4 linked regions of the Struthio camelus genome follow. The main gene of each other region encodes a partner of the protein of the gene in region 3 in a complex. Links are inferred from orthologs where the notes say so. Each region holds a gene or a part of one and is shown on either strand. Other genes may lie near its edges.

Evidence for each region.
Region 1: the proteins of NRIP1 (region 3) and RORA are in contact, whole or in part, in a crystal structure (PDB 4S15), measured with the Homo sapiens proteins. The link is inferred for Struthio camelus from reciprocal best matches to the Homo sapiens genes NRIP1 and RORA. Residues at the interface, in NP_001426204.1 of Homo sapiens: Thr499, Leu500, Leu501, Gln502, Leu504, Leu505, His507; in NP_599023.1 of Homo sapiens: Gln332, Val335, Lys339, Phe344, Met345, Gln349, Gln352, Ile353, Leu356, Pro505, Leu506, Glu509, Leu510.
Region 2: the proteins of NRIP1 (region 3) and PPARG are in contact, whole or in part, in a crystal structure (PDB 9CWN), measured with the Homo sapiens proteins. The link is inferred for Struthio camelus from reciprocal best matches to the Homo sapiens genes NRIP1 and PPARG. Residues at the interface, in NP_001426204.1 of Homo sapiens: Ser130, Thr131, Leu132, Leu133, Ala134, Leu136, Leu137, Ser139; in NP_056953.2 of Homo sapiens: Val321, Gln322, Thr325, Lys329, Phe334, Leu339, Gln342, Val343, Leu346, Lys347, Pro495, Leu496, Glu499, Ile500, Lys502.
Region 4: the proteins of NRIP1 (region 3) and ESRRG are in contact, whole or in part, in a crystal structure (PDB 2GPP), measured with the Homo sapiens proteins. The link is inferred for Struthio camelus from reciprocal best matches to the Homo sapiens genes NRIP1 and ESRRG. Residues at the interface, in NP_001426204.1 of Homo sapiens: Ser378, Leu379, Leu380, Leu381, Leu383, Leu384, Lys385, Ser386, Gln387; in NP_001429.2 of Homo sapiens: Val277, Ile280, Lys284, Phe289, Leu294, Gln297, Met298, Leu301, Gln302, Lys448, Leu449, Glu452, Met453.

Annotation. Positions count from the first base shown.
Region 1 is NC_090953.1:20,321,119-20,328,492, forward strand, and holds the start of RORA (nuclear receptor ROR-alpha), read right to left. Parts: upstream 3,001-7,374; 5' UTR 1,855-3,000; intron 1-1,854. UniProt on the Homo sapiens protein: Nuclear receptor that binds DNA as a monomer to ROR response elements (RORE) containing a single core motif half-site 5'-AGGTCA-3' preceded by a short A-T-rich sequence.
Region 2 is NC_090955.1:20,125,119-20,132,490, forward strand, and holds the start of PPARG (peroxisome proliferator-activated receptor gamma), read right to left. Parts: upstream 3,002-7,372; 5' UTR 2,915-3,001; coding exon 2,788-2,914; intron 2,780-2,787; exon of another isoform or gene 2,613-2,779; intron 2,451-2,612; exon of another isoform or gene 2,305-2,450; intron 1,620-2,304; exon of another isoform or gene 1,321-1,619; coding exon of another isoform or gene 1,290-1,320; intron 1-1,289. UniProt on the Homo sapiens protein: Nuclear receptor that binds peroxisome proliferators such as hypolipidemic drugs and fatty acids.
Region 3 is NC_090942.1:112,855,387-112,862,529, forward strand, and holds the start of NRIP1 (nuclear receptor-interacting protein 1), read right to left. Parts: upstream 3,010-7,143; 5' UTR 2,909-3,009; intron 1-2,908. UniProt on the Homo sapiens protein: Modulates transcriptional activation by steroid receptors such as NR3C1, NR3C2 and ESR1. Also modulates transcriptional repression by nuclear hormone receptors.
Region 4 is NC_090944.1:116,100,306-116,107,968, reverse strand, and holds the start of ESRRG (estrogen-related receptor gamma), read left to right. Parts: upstream 1-4,661; coding exon 4,662-4,894; intron 4,895-5,271; exon of another isoform or gene 5,272-5,536; coding exon of another isoform or gene 5,537-5,604; intron 5,605-7,663. UniProt on the Homo sapiens protein: Orphan receptor that acts as a transcription activator in the absence of bound ligand. Binds specifically to an estrogen response element and activates reporter genes controlled by estrogen response elements.

The sequences.
Region 1 (7,374 bases), on a different chromosome or scaffold from region 3:
TGCTCTGCTGAGGCCCTTTTTTCCCCGTTTTGTTTTGTTTCCCTTGCTTTGGATAGGACGCTAAAGTACCATTTTGGCCTCTCCAGCACATTTCCTGGGCACAGAAAAGGTCTTCCTCGTTCTTTGGTCTTTTATTTCTCGCTTCCAACCCATACCAAAATGGCTCATTAACTTTGTTCACTTAGCTTGTTTAAACTGGTGAGATGCCATTAGCAGCAACGATAGGTATGCTGAGGAAGTTGAGGACAAATGTTTGGTTAGATTAAAAAGTGCTCTAGAAATTGCTGCAGATGTTACCTTGAACAGTGTGCCAGAAATCATCCTATCAGAAATAATACAGAACACAAAGGGAAACATATTGCCAAATATTTTGTGTTCATTTTTTTGATTCCATGTAGATACAAAAAACAGTTTAATCTTTTTAAATAAAAATGTATCCTTTCATATATGATAATTGGAAATATTTCCACAGAGCAAGAAAAAAAAAAAATCTATGAACCCTGAAGCAACACAAATCTTTTTGCACGATTCCGCAGCAGGCAAGGTATAAAATTATGCGGATGCTTTTTCAGAGCACTGACACAATGACAGAGAAAGTGGCAGAAATGCTATACGGCATGCAGCCATCACACACCACAGCAAGCACGCTGCTGTGTGGGACAAGTACAAGGTGCACAGAGCACACACTAAGGAAGAAAATCATAGTTCATCAGATAACATAGAACAGCACCGTTTTGCCTTAGTGTTTATGGCCCATTAATATGGGAGCACGTTTTGAATTTGAGAGGTAGAGAATAACGGTCTTCTACTACATACTAATACAACCAGTGAAGTACCTCACTTGAAAAGGATGCGCCAAAGTACCCTCCCCACCCAGGAAGTACATCGTTAGCCCATATTCCCTTCCGTGGACTCAGTGGACGACAGTCCGCTCTGGCCACAGTAAGTACGTGTCAAAGGGGAATGTTAAACCTTCCTAGAAAGTTTTATTAGCTCCAGTCTAGCAGCTGTGGAGATCATGTTGCTGCAGAGCTGAACAAACAGGAGGGCAAAGTCTGGATAACATGGCAGAGGAACCAGCGAGATATTTTGATGCTGGTGGCATCTCCTGTCTTAGGTGTTCCCTTATGACGTTGCCCCGGATCCTTCCCACTACCAACTCCTCCTCTTGTGCAACAAGTTGCCAAGGCTAAGGCACATTTGCCTCCAATGGACACGCTCCCCTGGCTGTGGTTTTGATGGCTTTGCAGGAAGAGAAGAGAGAGCAAGATGTCACAGGCTGACGGAAAGCAACGGACATTCCAAAGAGCAAATTTCAGACTCATGCAAGTAGTGGGACATCCACTGGCTCTTCAGATGAGTCAGTTCCTCTGGAGTCACCTGGTGAAATTCAGATGTACTCATCTTTACAGACAAATCTTAAAAGAAGAACTTAAATTATATGTACCTATTCTTTGTAGCCATATGCTGTGGCATATCTTTTAATGATTGACAAAACCCTAATGGTTTGGCTAATTAAATTTTGCAGTAGGACAAGATGTGGCTTCCGTAAGTTATGCGCCCCACTAAGCTCCAGCAAAGCTGTATACTACATGTATAGAAGCTGAACTAATTACTGAATCTGAAAATTGGCAGTAATTAAATTAACTGTTATTTTAGCAGAAATTTATCCCATTCTAGATGAAAACAAAACACAAGATAATACAGGAGAAATGAGACGACTGTGGTGGAACTCTGAACTATGAGCACTTAACACTGTTTGTTAAGCCACTGTTCCCACTTCCCTCTCCTGCCATTTGGGTCCATTCCTTACTGAATTTTCTGTTTCTGAAAGAAACTGAAGCTTGCACTTACCTATACAGCACTATGTGCACAATCACATCCCCTGATGCAAAGGGTAAGCAATAGCGCAGGCCAGTTCTTAGGAACTCGATACCTTTTGTGAGTGAATTAAGGCAAAAGGCCCAGAGATATCTGTCTTTCTCAATCCGTTTTCTTTTGCAGCTGTTTTCCTGCAGTTAGTTAAAAACAATTACTGAATATTTGCCGTTAGCAAGATGAACACCTTTCTCTCATTCCATACCCTTGCAGACAACCTCTTCCTCCCACAAAGGTAAGGTAAGCTAATTGAATTAGAGGAGCAATTCCGCCTGCCCATACTCTCTGCAGAGCTGAAGGGAAACATGGAAGAGAAAAATCTGATCCAAAGATACATTTTTAATCTCAGGAACATGGAAGCTCTTTTAGTGAAGATCAGCAAGTGAGACACCATTTCCAAACGTCTTGGATCACTCCCACTCCAAAATGTGGGTGGTTGTTTTTTAATTAAATCTTGTTTCTGTACCTTATCCTTAATTGGATTTTTACTGAATAGCTGTTCCCTAAAACGCAGTGTTTGTCATATGATTCAAATAGTCCATCCTTTATATCAGATTGATAATTCATACTTTTTGTGCAAAAACCGTTTTTCTCTAGAAGTAATAGTAGGTTGCAAGCAGTTTCAAAGCAAGGAGAAAAAATAGCTGCTCGCTAAGAAAAAAATGTTATTACAATTATCTACATGATCATTGTTCATATTCCTTCATACAGATCCATCATTGCCCCCTGGATTCTGTCAGTAGCCCCTTTGAAATACCCTACCTGAAAGAACCATTCTAAGATATTTGGCTCACTGGCAAGATCTTATAGTATTAGGGAGTCTAACCGCACTTGGGAAGCTCATTTTCACTCAAAATCGCCACGGAAATTTGCACTAACCAAGCAAAAGCGTGTCAGATAAAAGTTCATTGTTCCAAATCATAGCTGAAAAGGGAAGCAACAAGTTACCTTGTACAGGAACATGTAATTAAAATGTTACTTTTCAGAAACTGTATCATGCAAATACAGGAGGGCAGAGTTAAGGCTAAAACATATATTTGCATTTTTGCATGAATTTAGAACATGACTCCATAATATTCTTTGTGATCAATCTGCACTTTTCCTAAGTATCTGGAAATAAAGATGATTAAAAAGAAATACCTACATATCTGACATCTGTGAATGGCATACCCAAACTGACAGTACCCCCAGTGAAGCATTCACACAAATCTACTATACCACTGCCACACTTAAGCTTTTAAGAGTCATGATGCTAAACGGTAGTGCACTTTGTCATTAACTCACAGTGACTTCCAACGCAGTACCTCCAGAAAGGTAGGAAACTAAGACAGAAAATATCTGCCTTTTCCTCCTCCACTATAGCCCAGCCACCAAAGGAAACGCTCCCAGCAGCGCGTGGTAAGCTCTCTGGGGTATCCGATTGCAGCGGTAAGGAGCGGTGCCTGCACAGCTTCTGCTTTCCCTCTTCTTTCCACAGGTTGCATAACTTTGTATTCTAGCTAGCTTAGAACTATAAAAATTGCCTTCATTGAACAGGTACCAAAAAATTACATTAACCATCCGTTTCTTCAAGCAACCCAAGTTCACAGCAGAGACATTAGGGCTTAGATGAGCATTAAAACTGAATTATGTCAGAAAGGCAGAAGTGAAAGCTTCAATTTAATTTAATGTAATTATTCAGCTTTTACATAATTTGAAGCTTCATTTGATTTATTTAAGCATGGTAGCTAGTAAAATATTTTTATTTGAAATAAAAAGAGAAAGCCACCTACTGTGTGCAAAGGTCAACTAGCGTGGCCAGCATTACTGAAAATATATACTCTTCCATCTCCTTTAACTCCTTGAGAACTTAACAGTCCACAATACAATACCATTCCTGGCGCAAAGAGCATTAAGTATGAGGAACAGTAACCCTTTCATTTGGCTTGGAGATGATCATATTTATTTTCTCTACTGTGGTGCCAGAGTGATGCAACTTGTCTTCATTATCCGAATGATTATTAGGTTATTTTTGCTCCACTTTCACACACAGCCGATGCTGCCTACTATATGCAATCAGATCTTGTTACAAAACTCTCAAAGGTTGTTAAGAAACGTTTTGAGAGACAGAGGAGAGGATCTGAACAGCAAATTCTGCATGTACCAACAATCTGAAAGACTTCCTGACAGTCTAGGATAAAACTATTCAAGTTATTACATATATAAGATTCAGCAGCCGCCTCTTCTTCTACAGTGGTAAGTCCAGAATGATACATGCTTTTATACACGCTGAAAGGATGAGTATGAAACTTCAGGTATTGTGCTGAAAAAGTCCTTGGAAGAGGAGTATCACATAGTGAATATATAAATTCCAGTGTGTTGACGGCAAAAAGGTATAGTAAGAAGGAAAAGATCTGTTTTTTCCTGAGTCTGGACACGAATGAGGGAAGAGCACAGAACTACTGAACTCACAGAACTGACGGTTATAATAGCCAAAAATAAAAAAGTTTGGGTTGTTGTTAGTTTGGATTTTTGTGTGCCTTACAGAAATATGAAGGCAGCTTTAGAGGAGCTATGGTCTCTTCGGCCCTGCTGAAAAATAAGCTGGAAAAAGTAATTTTTATCAAAAAAAATGTTTAAATTGACCTTAAATTAAAAGGTCATCCGTTTTCTACCCTGATTTTTATTTAACTTGTTAAAAATTAAGTTTATATATCCTTCAAAGTAAAATGCTATCTAAAATGAAAAATAGTTCATTTTTGTACTTTTATACAAAATAAAAGACAAATGCCAAAGTTTTACATGTTTTCCAGTTTCTTCTTCAGCTGAATAAATAGATCACAAAATAGAATTCTTTCAATTGACCCTAGTATGGATTTTTTTAGCCCAAAAAAATGTTACTCCGTTTCCGTTTAGGATACGATAGAGCTACTGACAGCTCTTTGGTAGCCTCTGTACAATCAGTGTGGTGGTTCTCACACAGTTTCAATTACAGAAGTACACGAATAACGTAAAACAGGCTACTCAGTAACAACATCAAGAGAGGCTCTCAATATATCTGAAACTAGGAGACTTAACTATCCTCACGGCTATCTGCATATCAACATGAAAAAGCTAGGTCTTCCTAGACTTAAGATGGCTTTTAGTCAGGACCCAGGATCTGGGACAAACGTTGTTAGGCCTATGTCCGTGTTAGGCCATAAGAAGCTCTTCCAAAACAAGGAATTAAACCACAGGCAAGCTGTTTTCATATGTCATTTTGGCCGAATGGGCTGCTTGTGCCACGGCTACCTGTACGCTCCCCTAGGCAGAGGGAACTCAACGAGCAGCAGCTGGCTACAGCAACGCTCCTGAATACAAACGCACCTTCAGTCTCTCAAAACGACAAGACCGTCCAACAAATCGACAAACGACAAAAATAAAGAACCTTTCAGAGAATAACTTTCAAAACCTTTACCAATTTCAAATCGAAGATAAGGCCCAAGGGAAGAAGCACACATCGACAAACTCAGTTCTCTATGTAAAGTCAAGGGAGAAAATTAAAAATAAGGCATCTAGTCTAACGAAAAATGATTTCGGGAGTGGACTTTTTTAGTATTACAATTGTTTGCTTGCAACCAACGTTAATTTTAAATAAATTGGACAACGTTGTTAGCCAAATAACTACCTTCAGCTCATTTGCCAAAGGATTCTGGCTACATCTTGAATTAGGTAAATTAAATATAAAAATATCATGTTGTCTCCTTTAGCCTTCATTACTCTCATTCAAAGCACTCAGCCAGAGGAACAGTAAATTTCACTGCCAGACTAAGTAAGCCTGCCAGTGGAGGATTCCCACCCTCCGTTTCTGAACCTTTCCAAACACATGAACAAAATATCAACTGAGATAGGTTGGGCTTTTCCCCCTTTTTTTCTTCTAGAAAGATTCATTGCTTTTCTTTAAAATAAAGCTGCTATTTAAAAGCAAAAGCAAGCTGTGCAGAATGTCCTCACAAATGTATTTAGACATGCTACATTCTCTCATTTAGAAAAATAATTGCTTCACGAGTTTCATAGTCAAAATAGGAAGCTCTTTGCTATACAAAGTTTGTTTTCGTCCAGGTTTGAATCTTGTGACTGGGACATTTCAGGGCAGCCCACACAGGTATTTTGAAGTTTAAATAAAAGCTGACATACTCCATTGATTCTTAGAGGACTCTTCCATTTGGGCTTGTCACTTGTAACAAATTTACATTACACTTTTTCTATCCGTCTTTACTCTCTTCCATAATGCATGAGATTCTTTCTTACAATCTTTGTTACTATTTTAGAAATTTAACTACCATTTGAAAATACCATAAAGCAAGCAACTCTGGCAGAAATATCGAAGATTAAAAAAAAAAAAACTCCCCCAAAAACCATGAAGGTAAAATCTCAAGAGGTATATAGATAACATGAAAATCAATTCATTTGCTTCTATAAAATGGAATGTATTTTTGGCACAAACATCATGAATATGTTACCCTACGGGCACACCAATGAAATGTCCACAGATCTTTTCCCAGTTCTTGTTGCAGCTTCCACCATGTCTCATCTCAGTGGACCTGCCATTACTCACTCGTGGCAATCAACACACATTTTCACTGGCCACTTTTTCCTTTTCTCATCTTAGCATGAAGGCAATCATTTGCCTCCAACTTAAATAGCTTGAGCAAACAGTTAAACATTTGCAGCACTAAGTTTACCCTGATAAAATTTTATTTCTTCAAATTATCTATAAACTTTACGATATACTGATGTTTTCCTGGTACGATGAAAACCACTGCTGTGCCTCCTGTCCACTGAGACTTCCAGTTTTATAAGACCTTTATGGTAAGGTTAAATGTTTCTAAGGAACAGCAAGATCAGTGAACAATTTTCAGATGAAAAGATGTGGTTCGCTTTAAAGTTCCCTAGTAATTTTCATGTATGTTATTGAATCAAGATGAACATGAAAAAACAACATGCTTATTCTATTTAAGAATTTTGGGTTGTACGAATGTAAAGATTAAGTCATAACATAAATACTAGTTTTAAATTCTCTCTTTTTTTTTTTCTCTAGTATTGCAAACTTTTTCTGAGGGGAAAACGTTTGAAATTGGTGAGTCTGGAATTTGAGAACCAAAAAGTTATATGTTTCTAAGATGAAAGCAGCTTAAATATTTTTTATCTACTTGTTTTTCACTGTGAAATTTTAAACCTTCCCCACATTATATCTCCATCTCAGAAATGTCAAAATACAGCAAGACTGGGTGAATGAGGTCTAAATAATAAGAAACAATTATTATGGATTTTATCACAAGTGCTTCATGCCCCTCTGTTTCAAGCAGAGGAGAGGGAGGAGGAAGCATCTGATGATCTCCCAAAACGGGTGGTATTAGCTATCAGAGCAGTTCATAAACAAATCTAGGAAAGCAATTACATACCTAGCACTAAAATGCTGTTAATGCTTTTCCACCTCAAAGTCTCCTAGTTGCATTCAGGGATTTTGTGTTCTTT
Region 2 (7,372 bases), on a different chromosome or scaffold from region 3:
AGAATTTATAATTGTATTTTAATTTCTCTTGAGTAGCTGTGCTGCAAACTGTTTTAATGTATGCCAGAACAGAATATAGGAATAAACCTTGCGACAAAAACTAGTAAAAGAAACTCAGATTCTGAGTATCAAATACTCACAACTAATGATTCGCAATTGGACTAGGGAAAAAAAAAAGAGACTGGTAAATATAGTCAATGCAATTTTGAACAGATTAAGGGTCAAAATTAGGAGGCGGCCTCAGAAATCAAGATGAAAATATCATTAAGTACACTTTTCATTATGAATTTTAGTCCAGCCTTGTACATAATAGTTTTCTTTCTACTTTTATTCTTTTTCCTGTTTTTACAATATAACTTTTTGTAAAATTCACTTTATTAGCCATTGCTAAAAGTAAACATTTATATCGACATATAAACTGAGGCCTAGCTTCAGTTATTTATTGATTTAGAAATGTATGGCTATTTCCAAAACTTGATGGAAAAGAGTAAGATTTAGAAGAAATGTTCATAGTGGGTGTTTTTATCAGTCTCATAAGGAAAATTAAAAGCCATAACTTAATTCTAACGTTTTGCCACTTTCATTTTTTGTGATTTTTATAATACGAAATATAAACTTATATCAGAGGAGGAGAATTCTTTATGCACTGACCATACTGTAACGACGTTTCATTGAACATTGACATTTAATAAATTGTAATATCCAGTAATTTGACAATGAGGCACCGCTAAGAAGCGCATACTATCTTAAGGCAGTTTACAGAGATATGATCTGTGAATCCCTAACAGTTAATGAGGTATTTTACAAAACTGATGCCCCAGAATATTCAAATTCAAAAGCTGCCTGCGTAGAAATACCTTTAAAATATATTCTGACTGGTTACCATGTAAAAATTCATGTCAACTATTTTTCCTACTCTCTCTCCCCTTGACAAGTCTATGTCTATGTTGTACCACAAGCCTTAACACACTGCTATGAGTGATTTTTTATAATCTGATAATTAAATCTCTAAGCAATGTTTGCAGTGACTTTTAGTGACAGCCAGGGAGAATAAGAATGCCAAACACCACTTCACACAGCAAATTCTGATATCAATGAGCGCACAACACACGAAACGTGTTTACAAAGGACAGCACTGAACACCTTATGTCATACATAGTTACTTGGTGTACACAGGGAATTTTTAGTTAACTAGTAACAAATCATAGTAACCTTTTAAAAGTTAAATTACTGATTAAATTGTGGACTAATTGCTACCAGAAGAATATTTTTTATTTTTGGATACTCACTATTAAATGGACCGTCACAGCCATGTTCCATGGCAAAAGCTCTTTTAGAGATGGGGCAGTAGGTCGCAAAGACAACGCCAGCCCAGACCCTCAATTATTTCAAGGACAGTTATGATTGATCCTTCTGATTTAAGGGAACCTAAATTTAGAGTCCACCGCACATGGAGAAACTGACACTTTCCTGAGCTTTTCATCAGGCTCAATGTTGGTCTTACGTCACTACATTATTAATAAATACATCACTGTTAACTCAGCATTGTATTGTCGTGTGTACACAGTGCCACAGAGTTACAACACGGCAGGAACTTGCGCTCTGAGTTGTAGAACACCCTGGAGAGAAATGACACCAGGAAGATTACCAAACGCTCCCGCAAACCCGAGGCGCGCCGTCAAGACCTAACACATTTCAACACCACATCTCGGCTGCTGCGGGCTCAGAAAGGCTCCCCGATTTTCTGCGGTTGAGAAATCGGGGCGGGGCGGGGCGGGGTGGGGGGGAAAGGAAGAAGAAGAAGAAGTCTCTTCATTCATGAGGGCAGCAGGCAGGTGAGCACCGCTCCATCCCCGGCGGCCAACGGGCACGGCTGCCGCCAGCTCCGCGGGGCAGGCGTCGCCCCTCTGGCCGCTCCGCACGCTCCTCACGCCACCAAACGACCGCCGCTGCCCCCCCAGCCAGCCCCAGCCCCAGCCCCAGCCCCAGCCCCGCCGCCTATACAGCACCATGGACACGGTGCCGGCCCGGCTGCCGCCTCGGCGGGCGGGGAGGCGGGGGGGGGGGGAGAGGGCGGCCGCCCGCCCCGCGGAGGTGCCCGGCGGGCGCTGCCCACCTGCCGCCCCAGCGAGGGTCCCCGCCGCGCCGCCAACCCGCCGCTTCGCCCCCTCCGCCTCGGCGAGAGCCCGCCGGCCGGCCGGCCGCATCGCCCGCGCCGGGGCACGGCCCCCGCCCCGGCTGCCCGCCGGGACGCCGCGCACCCCGCCGCCCCGCCCGGCCCGGCCCGGCCCCGCCGCCCCTCACCTCAGCGGGAAGGTCCGCCGCAGCCCGCACCGACCTGGCGCTGTCAAGTCTCAGCGGGAGAAACTGTTCCCTTCCAGTGGGATAAACTCCCCCGCTCGGCCCGTCCTACCGACCAGGCGCCGCCTCCCCCCCGGCGGGGCGCCGCCTACCCCGCCGGCCCACGCGGCCCGGGCCGAGGGGCGAGCCGCCGCCCGCCGTCGCGCGCTCGGGGCGCCGCGCTGCGCGGGGCTGTGCTGCGCGGGGCTGGCGCTGGCGCTGGCGCTCGCGCCGCGACCGTTGGCGGGGTCTGGCGGGGGGAGGGGCGGCGCGGCGCTGAGGGACGGGGGAAGGCGAGGACGCGCAGAGGGAGCGGGTCGCTGAGGAGGAGGAGGAGGAGGAGGTGCTGCCGCCGCCTCTCCTTCCTCTCGCCTTTAGCCCGCGTCCATGCACTGGAGCCGGTGCCCTGCGGGCTCGTGCCCGCTCAGCGGGATCACAAGTGCGTACCTGAGGGCAGACCGCGGCCCCTGCAGTGGATCTGGAATTTGATCTCTGCTCTCTCTAATCTCCTCCGCTGTGTAACTGAAAATTCAGTTTTTCCGGCTGCTAACTGCTTTCTCTTTTGCGTTTCCATTCTCCTCCAGCTAACTCCTCTCTGCGCTGCGTGCCGTTGGTCCTGTCTCCTCGCGTCAGTCTGTGTCCCACTGACAGGAATACAGGCTTTTCTGAAAACAGGCTTAGCAGTAACAGAGGTAAATGAAATTCCTTCCCCCCCCCACACACTTTTTTTTGGCTACAGGTTGTCATCCCCCCCCCCCCCCCCACGGAGGAATGCAGAGAGATGTGGTACAGGCTCTTCTCAGTAGGTCTCGAGAGAGAGCAAGTTCAAACAAGTATGTCACCTCCTCCTGTTTCACCCTCAGACTCTTTTAAAAAGAAGTTAGATGTGGAAAAAAAAAAAAGTCACAAGATCAGCAGCGTTTAGAGAGTCGTCCTGTAAGTCAAGATGCCCCAGGATACAACAGTTTATCTTTAAAAACCCTTGATCTCTTGGACATCGTTAGAGGATTCAGAGGATCCTAAGTTTGCCTCATTACGGTTCTTAGTCATCAGGCATTTTGAAAGGGAGTCTACATTTGCTATATTATTTGTACACTGAAGGCAATTTATAGATTAGGGTTGAATGCCTCAAAATATCTGGTCTACATATAGATACTAACATGGCCTACAGCTTTTTGTTTATGAGAATAGTCTTTCTGTCTGTAGAGGCTTGAAGCCTTGTGTTAATTTTTAATGAGAATTATCTATTTGTATAGGCTTGAGGTGGGTGTTAACTTCTGCCTTGACATATCAAGGAACTTTTTTCATTTACGCTTTTCTCTCCATCTGAACTTTTTGCTGTAGAAATGTGGAAATCTTTTGTTTGTAAGGTTTTTGTTTTTCTTTTGGACTTTCTTTTTAAAATACTGCGGTAATACCTATTCAGTAATCCCCTGATTCTGTATTGGGGGCCAGGTACTGAAAACAAGTAAAACAAAACCTTAGAATTGGCTCAAGATGCCATGGGTGAATAAATAGGCAAATGTAGGTAAAAATAATATAGCAATAAAAGAGGTTGAAATATAGAAATTAATAATATTTCTAGCCATTTTACAGCAGTATCTCATGTAAAGTTTCAGTAGAATATTAAAATAAGAAGGATCTTAGCTGGATATCTCCACGGAGAGTTCAGAATTAGCTCTGTTGCAAACAGAAAAAAACGCTGCTCTCATAGCAAACAGCCGGACAAAGAACACTGGAGGATCTCGCCATTTCATTTAAGTGTCTGAAGGATAGAAGAACCCTTCTGAAACTCTAGACTTTAACGTGCTCCAGGAAACTGGGAGCGCTCCAGAAATTGGGAGGCATTATTGCACATCTGATTGTGGCTGTATATACTCATAGCTTTGAGTTTAAACTTTTAATAAAAGTTCATAAGCAAAGCAGAAAAACAAAGCAAACTTTAGATTTCTAATTAAATGGCATAGGTGAAATAAGGGACACATCTGACTTTTCAGAGAAGCCGCCCAAACAGAGCTTTCAGGAAAAGTATTACAAACATTATATAATTTTGTTTCTGTTATATACATTATATTATTTTAACAAGTTCATCCCTTGGACAGAACTTGTGAAATATTTTAGATTATTATGTTCAAATTATTTAGGTTTTGTAAATATGTATTTTAACAGATTGGGGCAAGAAGGGAAAAGAAATTACTTAGTCTGATTTCCTGCCTAACGCAGAACATAGATTTTCACATAGTATTTGGTTAATACTATTAAATGTATCAGTTAGAAAGGCAGCTAATCTTGGTTTGAAGAATCAAGAGATGAAGAATCCATGAACTTTCTTTGGTACTTGCGCTCTCCCTTAAAAATAGGCCTTATTTATAATTTGAATTAATCTGCCTTGCTTTATCAAGTGTTTTTCACTTGCAGCACGTGGAAAGCCAATCATTTTATATTAAAACATAAATCAAGTAGGCTACAAATATATTCTATAATTAATTCTAGAATTTCTTTTTACATTAATGAAATGGTCATGATAAATTACTTCATCAATTTCTTGTACACCTTTTGTTTGTATCATGTGACTGCACAGTTTTGGGTTGCGGGGTCTTTCTCCTCTACTACCTCAGTGAATTCCTAAGTTTTAGTGGGCTATTTAAACATTCTTAAATAAGAACGAAACATTAGGCTCAGGCCTTTCTGAACCATGGGCAATGCTCCCCTAAGTTCAAAGAGAAGCAGGAAAGGGCTCTCAGCATCAGTTCTACTTTTAAAATTAGAGGATAACTTGTCTTTACAAAGAGATCAGTTATACTTTGTTTTTGTAGTGCATATAGAAGCTTTAGATTTCTTTTCATGTAAGAGAACTGCATTTTATATTATTATTAATCATTCTTTCAGTTTTTGTGGTAAGTCTCTTTTCAAGAGTTTGATGCTTCTGAAAGGGAAATCTTAATTCTGTGCTGAGTATGAATTCTTTTTAATCATTAAGAAAATCTTAAGCAGATTAAAGTGAATCATATGGCAAGAGTAGTCCCACTGAAATGAGTAAGAGTTCTTTGTGGAGGCTCAGAATGGATAAGGGTGTTAGTCTGGCTCTAATTGCCTCTCTTATATATACATTTTTATTTTACTTTTCTATTTCAATGAAAGAACTGTTGTGCAACAGGTTCTAAGCTACGCCAGGTAGGGTTTATGGCTTGATTTTAGGTTAGAACAATGACTGTAATAAAGAGATCTTATGATACTGTGATTTCTACGATTGGCTTGAAAAGGATAGAAATCTTGTAAGGACACAGAAATGAGAGATTTATACCTCTTCCTCTCTCTGCAAATATACTAGTTACAACTTTTACTTAATTATTTTGATGCTTCCATTGTGGCTATGCTTTAAGTCTCTAGGTGCATTACAGAAGTTTGAAATCACAAATCACGCAGTGTATCCCATCTCTGTATTCTGCAAAAAATGAAAAATCATCTAGCCAAACTTTTTAACATCTGGAGGGCAATCTCATATGCTAGCAGTGTAACTATAAGTCTAGCAGTTAAAAGAACAGTTCTAGTTGTGGAAATTGCATTGTTTTGAGGCAAAGGAGTTTAAGTATGCTAAGAAACTTGTGCTGCTGCCTTTTTTACAGTTACAGTGTCTACTTTCTCTTGGGTTATGTAATTTCTGAATTAATATCTGCTGTTCGTTTATTAGTAGCAAGAACTTTTTATTAGCATGTCAGTCTGTTGGCAGTTTTTTGATTGTTGGGGAGATATGTTTGTAAAAGGGATTTCATAATATTCTGCCTCACTCCAATTTTCATGTTGCCCATACATACACTTTTATTTGAAGGAAATGAGAGGTTTAAATTGCCATCAGTGGCGTTTTATATAGATATATGTGGCAAAGTCTATAGTGTAAGACGCATTCTTTAAGTGATAGTAGGGGACTATCCCTTGGTACGATTCCGGGCTCTCTTTGCAGTTTGCACTACAGTATTGTTATGTTTCATCTTGCATGCTGTGCCTTGTATCCAGCAAAGGTGATAGGACTAGGCGTAATGCAGGTTTGTCATAGATAACTTTAGAGCGGATCAAAACAGGAACCTTTTTAGTTAAAAGTGATCCTACTTTTCTTGAACTATGAGTCTTAGATAAAAAGAACTCAGAATCCAAATTCATGACTGCTTTAAATTCTATAAAGCCAAGATCACAGCAGCCTGCCTAACTCTAATTATAATGGTTTATTCTTTATCTTTGGTCTTTCCCCAACTCTTGGCTTCTCTGATTTCTTTTCCTCTTGAAGAGGATAACTTTCTAGAGCTGTCTGGTTCTTCTGTGATAGGCCGTTATCTTCATAGTCTAGTCCCGTTCCGATCAGATAGGTCCAGACTGCATCTCACGTACACAGAATGAAGACAAAAAGACATAAAGGAATGAAGGGCTCAAGCATATACTGTTATCCATCAGATTTGTTAATATATAAGATATTCATTTCTCAAGAAGTCACTTTAAAGCATCCAGAAATTTCTGATACTTTTATGTTGATTCTCATTTAAAACCATTTTATCCTAATTTGTTGGGTGATTAAATTAAGAAATATTTATGAATGTAACTTATTCAGCCTTAGAAATTCAGTTTTCTACAAAATTGTATACATGTAGACATCTTAAATTAGTAGGTGATGCAATTAAGATTTAGAGTTGTGCTAATATAAGATGGGAAGGGGGTGGCTAGTCTTGTGGTTAAAGCATGGGACTAGCTGCTGAGAGGTCTAAGTTCTATTCCTGGTTGTGTCACTGACTTCCTGTGGGTCACTGGGCTAAGTCATTAGCTGTGTCTCATTTTCCTCATATATAAAATGCAAATAACACTTGTATAACTGAAACGCCGTGAGCCTGAAGTCAGTAGTGTTTATATCAGTGTTTTCTGCTCATAAATGGACTTTGTATATAACCATATCGGGAGATCTAAACCTGTATTCCTAATTAGCTTTCATGTATTTGCCGTCTTTCTCACACAGGCAATTCATTGATTCCAGTGAAAACTCCTGGAT
Region 3 (7,143 bases):
GTCTTCCAAAGGAAGTCAGTTGATACAACTGCCTGCATACGTGCCCCAATTCATTTGACTATCTTGCAAAACTTCTGAATTTCCTGGGTAATTTCAATCAAATTTTAACAAAATGGTAACAGTTATAAAAAATATTTTGTCAGATAAAGTTGTGTACATCTATAGATGGTAGGGTAGAGGAAAGATAATCGCTCTACTGAGGAGAAGTTGCCATGTTAATTTATTACATACAAGGAAACCTATGTATTAAGCAAAATCTATAGGAAGTCAGACTTTAACTTTTATTGCCTATGGCACTACTTGTTTTCTACACACATGAGGTACTTGGATAGCACAAGAACAAGGTGAACAGATAGATGCATTTTTCAAGGCATCAGCATTACCTTTTTTATGTATAGCAGTAACTGTAGAATATAGTAGTAACTGTATTGATGCAATAATTCAACACATCTGCAATGAAAGCAACTATAACTGAGGAAATAATGGAAGGGTCCAACGAGCAACCTCTATTTGGATTTCATGGCATCCAGAGGCTTTATGAATGTTTTTAATAGGGAGATTTGGCTTAGAATACATGCTTAGTGTACATATAGGATATCTCAGGGAGTGATTAAGGAATGTAAGTCAAGATGATAATAGTAGTCACATCTCTGGCCGGTGTCTAGTCTTAGTTATCAACATGTTTAGAAAAGTCTATTAAAGTTTATTCTGAGTTAAATTTCCATGAGTTAAAATGGAAGCCATGCTTTTTCATTAGGTCATTATCCTCCAAGAAAATGTTATTTTACTAGGTTTCTGAATACATTGCAAGTAGGGGAAAACAAGTAGAATCAAAGGCATTTTCAGTTTATATTTCAACCTAAGAATCAGATTTCTGGAAAAGGTCCTTAATATTACGTTATAAGTTTTTCTAGAAGGTCAGATTTCATTTTATTCTGTATACAGGTTACTGGGTAAAGAAAAAAAAATTTGACTTTCGTATTCTATCAATACTTGTATTTCCGCTGCTGAAAAAACCACCAAGCTATTTTAGCTGAAGGCAAGGTTATCTAGCCATCCTCGATTTGGGGCAATCAGCCATCAAAAAACAATTCCTGGGAGTAAACACTACAGTTAGAGACATGCAAATAAATGCTAGAGTTATAAATAATAGTGCTACACATGAAAGAAAAACAAATCAAAGGGATTTCTACATGAAGCAAATCTGTATTATGCCTCCTACTGAGTTGTTGTTATATCTTCATGTACTCTGTTTGGGGGGTTTGTTTCTTTGTTTTTTTTCTGTAAGCAAAGCCAAGCCAAGCCACATGTTCCAGCAGGGTAAATCAGGTAAAGTCATTTGTATTTCTTTTAATTTTTGGAAACAGCCTACATTCCTCTGTGTCTTACTCTCTGCTCTAGTGTACCAGCGTAATATGTCTCTCAACCCAGAGCTCAAGATGATTTAATATAATTTAGTATTAAAAAAAGACTTGTTTAGTTTTAAATTGTGTGACACAGTTGAAGATGCTGCTAAAAGATTTAGATTCTGCTAAAAGAAAAAAAAATTAAACAAACTGTTACTAAAAATCAAGTATATTTTTCATATTAATTTATGACAAGGTTGCCTTTGGCAAACGGTCAACTATAAGGCTTGAGAGGTGAAGGAGCATTAGCCTGCTAAAGGCAATGAAGGTATGTTGATCTGCACCAGTATTTGATTTGGCCAAATATTTGGAAGGGACAATTACAGCTTAGAAACAGGAGGTCTCTTGCTTAAAGGGAGGGGCCTTGTGCAAAAGTTAGAACTGAAATGCTGCTCAGACAATAAGCTTTAGTCTTCCATGAACCTCAGTGAGGATTCATTTGGAGTAACATTTGGTGCTGTGCAGGAGACTAAAGATGGCCTATTCTTCAGCCAAGTTCAGTTATATTCTCCCATATTTAGGGCTCCCATAATGCCCATGGCTCTTGCTAACTATCTATAAAAATATATCTTTAATTCCCCCTCACACATACACACACACACACACACACACACACACACACACATTTCCCCCTCCCCCCATTCTAAAAAGCTAAAAAGAGGAATTACATAGGTACAGATATTGAACCCCTGCAGCGATCATTAGTTTCCCAGGGTGTCCTGGGTATCAAAGATTAGATCCAACACATATTAGCATTAACCTCGTTGAAGTTTAGAGTCATTTCAATCTCAAGTTAAAAATCTTTAAAACATTAATTAGGAAATGTAAATATATTTGCAGATTCATACATGTCCTTCAAAAAGCATGTAATCAGTCATTTCAGTTAGTACAGCTGCACTGTCAGAAATGCAAGAGTAGATTTCCTATAGAAAAGCACCTAAAACAAAAAGAAAGGATGACAGTAACATATACACACACATTAGGAGCCCTTTTCTCCATATAAGCTCCCTATCCATTAAAACTGTAATTCATGAACAACATCAGCAACAAAATAATACTCCTTAAAATTTTGCTAGAAATTGGAATACAGAGTGGACACTGTAAAATGAAATGCAGCAGAGTAAAGAAACTCTCTGCAGTCAGGCATAGGAGCCTCATAAAAGCTACAAAGTACCATAGACTGTACTGCCGTAATTTACTTGTCCCTCACTTTCTTTTTATCCTATGCAAGCAAAAGCGGCACTGGAAATTATAGAGCAGGCAAAGCAGAGCCACACAACTTCTGAGATGTGGCAGCAGCTTCTGTACTGAATTCTTACATTACATACATTACATTAACATTTCAAGGCCTCACAGATGAGACCAAATTCAGAGAAGTATGTATATGAGAGGTATATAAAGGAAAAATAGATGAGATCAGACCATCCTAAAGCGTACCCCAACTTGTTTCCACCCACTCAGAGTATCAGGAACTATAATCTAAACTGGTGTAGGCTACATACCAAGCAGACAAAAGTAGATATGAGAAACGTATGGTTTTGAGTGGCAGATATCTATTTTATGATATTTTCTGTTGCTCTCCAGTTTCTTTTTCCCCACATCTGCTCTTCTTGGCTCTTCAGACACAACACCTGGATATTTGGGAAGACTAATTTCAAAAAATGAAAAGGAGTTACTTGTGTTTCCAAGGGTAGGGGGTAGAGGAATCACTCTTCAGATGGCATATAACTCCCAGAATTCAGAGAAAGAATTAGGACAAAATGTCAGTTATTCGTTCATAAAAAGAAAGCAAAACATTAAGACAATTACTTCCTTAGTGATATCCCCATTCGACACAGAAAAATCAAATAAATTTGCACCCCTCAGTAGAAATTCATCTACTTATACCTATTACTGTCCCAAAAATTAGCATCCAGCCTTTTAGACATACCAGCCATATACCTTTACCTGTCATTACACCCTTGCAGACCGGAAAGAAGCTGAACAAGTAAACAACGAGAATTATGGTCTTTAAACCAAAGGAATGGAACTATATTATGGTCAATAGTGAGGACAGCAGGATCCAGGTTCCCTCTCCCAAGAAGGATAAAGAGACTGACCCCAGAGCAATTTCAACCAGTGTGAAGAGCCTTATGCTTCTCAAAACCAGACTCACAGAGAGCACACAGGACAAGGGCACTTCACTGCCAGCACAGCGACTGCGCATCTGCACCTCCGAATCACAAGCCCGCATATGCCACTTCTCCTCATTGCTATACCCTGAAGTCCTCATTCAAGCCACATTGTTGTTCAAGCTAAGGGGGATTACCATTGGGGACCTATACAGCAAAGAATTGGTGATCAAGCATAATAGACAAGTCATTACCCGAACCTAATAATTCTGCAGTAGAAACAAAATGATGTTCATGTTGATTTTTTTTCTATAATCATTTCATATTGATATAGAAAAGTTAAGATACTGAAAGAGTATTACTCACAAGAGGAAATTTCTCCTGTCCATTCTACGTACATGTAATTTTTAAGGAATGAGCCAAGGGTATGGAAATGAAAACTAATGAACTCCCTGCCAAATATTATAGATTCCCTAAGTTTAACGCCCTTTTCATAATCCGCCTCTCACAAAAATCACAGTGCAGGTTCAAACCTAATTCATTAACTGCACCTCTTTAGTTAAAGACTATGCAGCATGCAGGCCTTTTGCTTATTTTTTTAATTCAAAGGCCGAGTAGGACACTTAAGGTGTTTTAATAACAGCCCTATATAATATCTACTTTTTTCCAGTGTACACAGTTTGACTGTGTTTTTTGAAGGGATAAATAGAGGTTTTTGAATTCAGTGATCGTTAGACAAGTACAGCACAGTATTTCTGGGTTTTTTTAGAGGCAATATTGACCAAAGACTATTTTCTGCATAAAGTGACTCTTGCATATAGTCATAGCCTAGCACCAATACAGTATCGCTATCCATGTCTGACAGGCAGATTTTCAAACTGCATGGATCAATTAGAAAGTCATGGGCAATAGTCAGCAGGGGAAACCTCACAGTCTGTCTAAAGAATACAGTTTTCGGCAGCCCATGCTCCATGATGTACACTCATGATCCCCCTGTAACTCAGGGAACATAACTTTACCACTTGGAGACCATACTGCATTGTGGAATTCACTCTCACTGCCCAAGACACTAAAAATTGTTTGAAATCAGGTTTGTCAGCTCCATTAAGAGAAACAGACCTTCTCTCACCATCAAGACAGACCCATAAAAGGTCTTACGTAATGCTAAATACTAATGGCCTTTGCACTGCACAAATCCCAAAAGGCAAAGCCAGCAACCCAATTACTTTTTTTTTTTTTTTAAATAAAGAAAAAGTAGCCAACAACACTTTCTAGACAATGAAACTGTAAGCGTGCTGGAAGAGAGAGAGCTCTGTGCTTTGCCACTTGCCTAACTCTCATTCCCACTTACCAGTCTTACCAGGGCTTTGCCTAATACAGCATTTTGCAGCTGCTCAAAGTGCAGATTTCCCTCCCTCCCCACGTAGTAGCTGGGAAATGCTGGGAACCAGCAGCTGTGGAGATCGATGTTGGCTAGGCTGAGCAGAAACGCTAAGGCATTTCTCATCACAATTATGCAGAACCAAATGCCGTAGCTGTTAATCAAGCATAACTCAGTGGGAGCTTTGCTCAGCTGAGTAACAGAGAGTTTGGCTCATTCTAGCTGGAGGATTAGAGCAGCACAGCAGAAGCCATTCGGTTCTCAAAACGGAGATTAGCACCCTCTCTTAGCACACGGGAAAGCACCCTTCCCCTGTCTTCACCTCTACCAGTCCCTCTAACCAGGGGACTTCAAAAGGAAGGTGCATATGAATGAGTGATACTGAAAAAGCAGGGACCAAATCACAAAGGAGCACGGGGCATTCACTTTTCCTTTCTCTTATCCCAGCTTGCATGCTTATAAACTCTCTTCTCCTCCTGCCCTCAATAGCTGGAAAACGACAGCATTTAAGTCCAATCTGAAGCATAATCCTAGCATACTTTCTAAAACCCTTGTGTAGCCTCCCAGCCATACAATGACCTGTGGTCAGTTTGTTTCCACTATTGTGATCCTTCTCCTAGGAGGCTCTGAGTGATCCGGGTAGCTAACGTCCTGAAGCCTGAGGTCTCTGCTCTTGCAAAACTCCAGTCAATGTAGAGAAACTAGTTAATAGGGGGGGGAAAAAAATAATTTACCAGTTGAAAAAAAATTAAAACTTTTTTTAAAGTTATATTCATTTGTCCAAGTGAGTGGATAAGGTGCTCAGAACAGGTGCATCCTGAGCAGGAGAGGACATCATGAGAAAGTATCCTAGGCTGGAAAGAATATACTGCAGACACAAGTGCTAACCATGCCATGGTGTGCTTTCTCTAATGTCACATTACTCTTTCTTCGGGCTCCTTGGTTACTCAAAGAATCACTTTCTCTGGAGATCCTGAAGATCTCATCCTGTGAAACAAGACAGACGGAGGTAGTAGAATTGGACCAGGCTGAGCAGGAAAGGAATAGAAAGAACTAATATTGTTGATGTTTGCAGTTACAGGCAATTATTAATTTTTTTTCCTGTTTTTGAAAATATTATAAGCCTATATCAATAATCCTCATAGAAAACTCCAGCAAAAAATATTATTTCTACTTCTTGCCACTAAGGAGTTAAGACCTAGAAACTTTCATAATCAATTTTATTTCGCAGTGAAATTCATTTCAAACCAGATCCTAATACCAGTTTTGAAACAATCTCTAATCTGTAGATTGCAGAAGGATTTTTGATCTCCATTTTAAGCTGGAGAAAATGCTTCTTCTCCCCCTCCCTCTAGCACTGGAAGGTTGCGTAACTGGCAATACATTTGCATCTATTTTATATTTACACTAACTCACTGCTTGGAACTACACTTGCATTGTTTCACGGCTTATTTATTTTCACAAACAAGTGCTGTAGAGACTTGCATTTGCGCACTTCTGTGGTCCCCCTGAATTCAAGGAGATTATTCCCAGTGTATAGAATTAAGCAGTACATAAATCTCTGCAGGATCTCAGCCAAAGAGACTGTTTCATTAGGAAACAATAATGAGACATAGCCTTGTGCTAACTCTGTGAGCCAAATTCTGTCCTCAAAGACACAGGTTTGGTTGCTTTTGGGAAGGGGGCAGTTGCCAAACACCCCTGGGATGCAAGCTGGCCGCCTGGCCAGCCACCCCATGGATGAACATAGGGTGTAATTTGGGCATGGGTCTGCTCTGGGCAGGGGAGCAGGGGCACAAGATGACCTCTGTGCCTCTCCACCTGCAGAAGGACGAGTTATATTTCACAAAGTATTTGGTGATCAGTGTGAAGACATGGTGGCACTCTGGAGGCAATATAAATGCATTTTTGGCCTGGCACTCCAGCTAAACTTAATTCACTTCGGTCTCTCCTCCTTCCATTGTCTTCCAAGGCCCTCATTGCAATGGGGATCACATCATAGGAACGTATCTATATAGGTTTAGGAAGCACGTGCAACTTTTTATAATAAAAGGAATAATAGATAGCTTACATTATTCATAACGTAACTGATTTCATTTGCATTATGCTTTACTTTCCAGATTTTTAAACAAGGACATCCTAATAGAACTGTACAGGCAAATTTCTTCTGAGATTCATGCTCTAGAACAAAAATAAATGTCTTCCACAGAAATAGTTATTAAAATGAACATTACACATTGTTAGA
Region 4 (7,663 bases), on a different chromosome or scaffold from region 3:
AGCTTCACAAAATGAAAGTGAAATAATCCTGTATTAATTAAACAGAGCAACTGAATTCCCTCAGTCATCTTATCCTTGGCTGTCTGAGACAGTAATGCACTTCAGCTCCTCTGAAGAAACTTGCACTAAAAAAAGAGCTTGGGGTGTAACAGTGAGCTATCAGTATTGAAGTACATGCCCGAATTATCTTTAGGGAGTAAGACCTTTTTTTGGAGGGTGACAGGCAGTGTCTGTGCAACTTGCTTTTTTTTTTTTTTTCCTCTCTCTCCCCTTTCTTTGTCCCCCCCCCCCCCTTTTTTTTTCTTCACTTTTTGGGTTTTGTCAAAGGCTTTGGAAAAGACATTTTGTCAAGAGAATAATTTTCATTTACAGCAATGTGAACAGTTTCTGTACTGTACCAGTGAAGGCAATCTTTTAAATATCAATGCCCATGCCCTTGAAAATAAAATGAGCAGAAAATATGGAGTATTTTTTTGAGACTGGATGAACTGAATGTAGCTTGGAAACATGGTAAGGTGATTGAGTTACTTCACGGATGCTTTTTTTTAATATGCTGTAACTGGGTGTAAGAAGCAAAATCTAAAAGCGTTACTTTGTGCATTTGTGAATGCGCTGTGGAAAAGTTCTAAAGAGCGCTCTGAGATGGTGCTGTGTGAGCTTGTTTCCCTAAGATCAGAATAAGGAGTAATTAATGCTAAATACAGATTGAAGTAGCAGATGGTTTTAAAGTAATAACCTGCTATAGTTTGCCCAACTGCGTACAAACAGGTGAGCAGAATTTGGAACTTTTATAGCATTAGGTTTTTTTTTTTAAGGCATTAGCAGTGTATCCAGGGATGCCCCAATTACCTTCGAGTAAGGAGCACAAAAGCCAAGCGCGTCTTAACACAAGCAGACAGTGACAGTGTTGTTCTAACGTTGATGTTACTTGATGTTACTGCAGCACAGCACGTTTGAGTTGTGTTTCTTTACTCAGTGGTTTTGAAAAAAAGAGAAAATCACTTATTTGATGATACTTGGAAATTTCTTTCAAACTGTTAAAATATGATATTCCACAGCTAAATTTTGAAAAAGGTAGCAAGGTATATAGAAAATTTCCATCTAAAGTAACAGTATACTTATTTTCAAATAAATTCTCAGCAGGTAATAGAATTATTTATATTTTTGCGCCTACATAGATGACTTTAGTTTGTTGCTCTTTTTGGTAAATACATGCTTGACACAATATACTGTGCTGCTTCTGCAAAGTGCCACTGAATCTTACTTCTTCAGTTGCCTTGAGGTGGTTGTGTTTTAAGAATCTGGCTGTTTGGATGCCTCAAAATGTCTATAGAATTTAAGTGTGAAGGCGCTTAAAGATGTACTGTTCTGTACACAGGAATAATCATATGCACAGCAAGACATGGAGATATAGATGCTGCTCAGTAATGCCCATTGACTAGTGCAGACACTCATGGCAGTTTTCCCCCTTCCCCTCTCTGATTCCATTACCACTGTTTTGTATAGACTCCTTGTGGTAAGATTTTGCATTGTAGATTTTGATAAGATGTGTGTTTGCATGCGTGTTCTTCTTCTGTAGCTTCCGATAAAATTCAGTAAACTGACGTCTGCTTTTTTTTTTTCCAACTACTGTTTTTATTTCTTTCTAAAGCGGTACAGAGAATCTTGAGACAATGAAGTTACGCGTAGCCCCAGTTTATTTGCTGCAGTATTCTTTTTATCTCCCCCCACCAACTGATTGGTAACTGTGAAACCCAAGTTCAAGAACGTAGTTGGAATTGCAGGCCCCAGTCTGGTGGAGGTGACACTTTCAGTCCTAGGGGAAGAAGCCAACTGCTTTGTTTATCAACATGTAAAGTATAGCACTGTATTTCTGGTTGTCCAAGGAGCAGCACTGGCAGAGAAGCCAGCTGCCTGCTTGGATGAAAGATGGTTGATAGAAAGGTAGTGATGGTTAATAGGGTGAGAGGAAAAATGGATTTGGAGGTGTAGAGGGAGAGTGGGGGGAGAAGCCAACGAGGTAGTGGAAAGTGTGTGAACGTGAAAAGGAGAGCATACTGGAAGACATACCGTGACAGAAGGAAAGAGGTTATCATGTTTCAGCACCTAATATAAATACACAATCTTGGAAGATAATGAACAAAAGTAAAAATAAGCTAACCCATGCTTTGTGTTTTTTAAAATGGATTAATAAGTCATATTTTAATGAGGGTGTATTCCAGTGAACTTAATACTTTAAAGTGACTTTTATCAAATTACTTGTGTATAGGGATTGATGGCAGGTGATTTTAAATAAGAAAGTACATACACATGAAAAGATTTGAAGAAATTTTAGCATACAAATACTGAAAAATAGCAACTTTGAATATAAATCTATAAATGGACACACACACAGACACTCAGTACAAACAATATATTTGTATTTTGCATGGTTTGCTAATGTGCACATGTAAACCGATTTGTAGGATCTGTGCTTTGGGTTTATACAATAATAAAGAAATCTATAGATAAAATAAACACATCATATTCAAGTGCTGATTTGGTTCCAAAATCTGCATTTATCAAACTGCTTCTTAAAGAGGATGTTCTAGTATTGTAACATGATTAAATGCTTCTCATTTTAAAATTTGATTAAAAAAAAACCCACCCTTTTTTGTCTGTGATGTTTCTTCAGTGCTTGGATTTTACTCTACATTTCAGAGCTCTTTAATTCACTGCTCAAAAGCGAATTTACATCTTAATTACAGAGTTCACATTTAACAATATAGACAGCATAATGCTACTGTAATTAAGCTTTTACTACCTGCTTTTATACAGTAGTCAGAGACGTAGTTTTGCTGTGTGAGTTCTGATCGCTAAAAACTTGCACGTATATTTACTGCATTTGTAAGAAGCAGGCCCAGTCTTTACATCAGGTTAAGTACATAACACTGGAATCTCTCTGCCGTAAACAGATACAAACATGTCCAGTGCACTAACATATTTTGCACTTGGGTTCTGTTGTTTTATTTATTTGGTAAAAAACTGTGAGATGGATTTGGAGAAGGCATTTGTGTTCCCATTTGTGAGTGGTATTAATGCAGTCTGAGGGTGTGCACTGATTTGTTTTGATCTAAAAGATTGCCATTTGCATCATGTAGGGCTCCAGTCACAAAAGATTTTGTGAGCAGTTGAGCTGAATTATGAAAAATCATGGGCTTTCTGCTGTGTTTTTTTTTGTTTTTATTGCCAGAAACAGCCTGTATCTATTTCCTGGGAGAGGCAGGAATAAAAACACTTTGTAACTAGCAAATAGTAGTGTTTTAGTTGTAATATTAAGTAAAAATAGTAGTTTTTGAGAGAAAAATATTGTGCTCTCAATTAAATACTGATCCTTTTAAAATGTGTGTGGGGGCAGAGTTCAGTGAGAACAGCGTCTCTGATTTTGTTGTATGATCGTTTTCTCAAAACAAGTCTAATCAGAGACCTTTCATTATGACAGGGCCAAGCAACTGTGAGTTACAAAAGCTAGTGGTTTGCTGGAATCGTGGCTGGTGATGTGTTTGCAGGCATGTGTTTACTTCCCTTTCAGTTTGGTGAAATTTACTTTACAGAAAACAACCCCCCCGCCCCCCAAAACATAGTAGAGGTCTGTGTGCATTCTGAGGTTTAACAATGCAGACCCTCTACAATGCGGTCCTTATCTTGTTAAAATGAAACAGACTGAGTTAGTCCACTATAATCCCTCCACACTTGCAGAAGAAATTGATCAGTTCTGGAGCTTTTCCTGCTGTCTACTAGATCTAAATATTTACATCCAAACACCTAAATATTTGTATATGGGGATACATGTTAAATACGGCCATGTTAACACGTATCTAACCTGGATAGGAAGGCACATTCCTGCATACACTCCCAGTCGCACCCATGCTGTTAGGAAACGCGGCTGAGTGCCAGTTTTGTTTTGTATGTACATTTTTCTTGTAGGTACAAAATCAGATTTTCACTATATGTGTGTGTGTGTGTGTGTGTATGTGTATGTGTGTATATATATATATGTATATAAAAAATATAAAAAATCCCAGCAACACCTCCCTCTCCCCCCCTTCCTTCCCCCCACAAGCCGTAACTCGGGTGGCAATGAGAAGTTGAGTTAGCAGGCGCTTCGGCACACTACGTTTGATGGCAGGTGCCGAGCGACTCCGGAGGTTAGGAGAAGCGGGGTGAGGAGCGCCTGTCCAAAGCAAAGCCCTGCCGCACCGAGAGCCCGAGCCCCCAACCGCCACAGCGCGACGCACCAACAGATAACGGCAGCACAAACTTCGTTCTCTACCTTAGGCGGATTTCTTCCCCGCATTAAGTGAGAGGCTGCGTGTTATTTCTTCCTGGCAAGGTACCTGGCCAAGTGTGCTTTAAGTTCGAGCCGGCCTCCCGCGCCGCGGCAGGGGAGGCCGGCGCCGCCGTGGCCCCTCGCGGGCCGGCCGCGCGCTGACACGTCTGCGGGCTCGGCCCCAACGGCCGCCGCCGCCTCAGGCCGCTCCCCTGTCCCCACCCTCTACCTGCCGCGCGGGCCGCGCGCCGTGCCGCCCCGGCGCCCCTGGCGCCTGATTGGCCGCCGCCCCACCAATCGGCCGCCCCGCCGGGCCGGGGGGACTGCATATGTAAAGCCCTGCTTCATATTCATGAGCGCCGAGCGGGGCTTTAAGTCCTTGATTAGGCGCGCGGGCGAGCTTTTGGTCCCCACTGGCCGTGCCCGCCGGCTTGTCACCCGGAGCGCACCTGCGTGGCGCGGCGCGGCGCTCGGCCACGGAAACTTTGGCTTGCGGCGGGGGCGCGCGAAGAATGGTCGCCGGGCGCACATGGATTCGGTAGAACTTTGCCTGCCGGAGCCGCTCTCCCTGCACTACGAGGAAGAGTAGGTACCGCTCCCCGCCCCCCACCCCGCCGGCCGCCGCCTGCCCCCCCCCCGCCCCCCTCCCCCGCACACGGCAAACGCGTAAAACGCCGCTGCAGGTAACGCCGGGCCGTCTCGGTGCGCGCGAGCCGTCGCCTGCGCCGGCCCGGGGCAGCTGCGCGGCGGCTCCGCGCCGGGCGGGCGGGCGGGCAGGCAGGCAGGCAGGAGGCGCCCGCCTGCCCGCCCGCCCGCCCGCCCGCGGGGTGCTCCCTCCGGGCGGGGAGGAGCGGTGCTGCCCGCCTGCCCCGCGCCCGGACAGGTGTGCGGGCTCCCCGGCTGCCTGGCGGCGGCGAGGGGAGGGACCCCGCGCGCGCCCCCGGCGCCTCCCCCCCCCCCCAACGGCGGCGGGGTGACGGTTGGTGGGGAGCGGCCCGCCGCCGCGCGGCCCTGAGGTACCGGCCGCTCCGCCGGGGCAGCAGCCCCGCAGGAAAATCGGAGAAGGGTGCGGGGTGTTTTGGTACTTCTGTAGGGGACTGGTGGCGTGCGGCCGCTCCGTGCCCTTCGGCGGCGGCCTCTGCCCTGCCGACGACGGCGAAATACTTTTTGAACGAGCCGCAGTTGCTCGCCGGCACTTGCTAGCCGCCCCGTGGTGCGTGCGGATGGATGCGCCTACGTGGGGTGTCTCGGATGGGAATCGCGGAGCCCAAACAAAATCAGGCGGTCTGGGGCTGGTGAGTGGCTCGTAAACTTGATTTCAGCCTGCAGCCAGGATTAAATATTAGTATATCATGGGAGCTGTCACCGATTCATTTTTCTTTATGTCGAGCCACTTAGGTAGCTGTGCCTTCGTGTTGCACTAGCAGCGCCGGTGATACCGAAGAAAAAACAAGCTAATAGCAAGCATCGCCCGAGACGCAGTGTGTGGAAAGGCTGTGTTGAGAGGTGACACTGTATTATAGGTAGATGCCCACTAGCTGTCCTTAGCGTCTGTGTATTGCATTGCTATTTGTAATTAAGACAGAGATGAAAAGTGAATTGCAGTGATTATGTACTGGTGAAATAATACAGGAAGTAAGACAAACAGTAACAAATAGACTTGCTCATAGGAGCAAGCAGTCTGGGAACAGGAGGCAGCAAAATCCACTGTAATGTTCTGGGATAAATAAAATAAACAAAAGGTAAGATGCCCACTCTGGTGTGGTTTATAGGTCAGTGCACTGTGCGCTGCCTTATGGCGTAAGATAGCTTCATAAATTTAAGAACGCAGTTTCCACAGCTTTTACTGGTATCAGAAGTTTTCTTTATAAAATACACAAAGAGTAAGTTTTATTTTCTGGTTGTTCTCCCCCCACCCCCAAGCTTTCTTGAATTTACCTTCTTACAGCTAATTTGAATGATTAGTTTAGATAAGCCTCTTAGAGTAGATGCATTTCAATGAAATCGGGGCACATGTCTTTTTGGCTCTGGTGCAAGATTCAAACTAGTTTTTTTCCTCTTCTTTGGCTCAATTAAAAGTCATCTTAAAACAATCCCGGTATATTGCCCCAACTCAGGGTTTCAGGAATACGTGGTTGCATGGACACACATACACAAAAAACTAATGCTCAGAAACGTCTGCTTCTCTGTTTCTGTTTCAATTAGTAAGCCTCAGAGTTTTTACATGTTATTAATATTCATAGTAATTCTCTCTTGACTATATGTTGTTGCTTGTGTGTCCACATACAAGTGTAAGGGCACACAAAATAAATAGTAGACGCTTTCTGCAGTTCTCACGTTGTAGATGAAGGCAGAGAGGATCTAAGCTAAAAATTGTCGGAACATTTTGGGAGTGCACAGACATCTGTCTGACCATCACTAGGTATGCTTTGATTTTAAGGCAGAGCATGTTAAAGAATGCAATAACTTAAAGCCAGCTGCAGCATTGACTTTTTGCTTTTTCAGTAATAACACTGATAATTACTAATAGTTAATAAACTAACACCAACAGATGCAATAAATATGTCTGCTCAATTTGACATATGTGTCAATTTAATCATTCTAAATGAATCAGTGTGCTCATAACATGAAATCTCCTTCAACCTCTGATTAAAATGTAACGTTGACTAAAGGATTATAGAGCGGACTTAATTTTACTGACTGTTTTAACAGTTGTCACAGCTGTTGGAAGAAGGAAAGGCAATTGAAACACTCCAAAAAGGGGGGGGGAAGGGGAGGACTAGTTTAGTAAATTTAAATATGATCTCTGAATGCCAAACATAGAAAACTGGGTAGATTTGTAACTCCAGATCGCTTCGGTGCACTGTGTACATTTGCCCTTTGTAGCTCCCTGTGTTTCATTAATTTGAACCCTCAGCAGTTTCTCTACTTTATCCATTCAAAAACGTTCAACAGAGTTTAAGCATAAAAGAAATTTAGCTGTTATAGCATGCATGGATTTTTATTTTGTAGCGGAAGAGATAAAATACACAAATGACAAAAACTAAAGAGTGTGTAGAACGGATGTAACGTTTTAAAAAGTGGACGTCGTCCAGAGTCACTGTAAATAATCCAGTGCGATGATGGTCAGTGTACGTATCTTGTATTTTTCTAACGCTTCTCATGTTGCAATATGAGAATGGTCTGTGGAGTTATTGTGCGAGTCTGTGTGGGATATGCATGCATGTGGATGAGCATGAGGATCATATGCATACTCACGCATATCAGGACATACACAAATATGTGGGGGGTGAATATATGTTAAATATAAAATATTTTATGTCAGTTCCATTCTTCTATGAAATATTTTGGCAT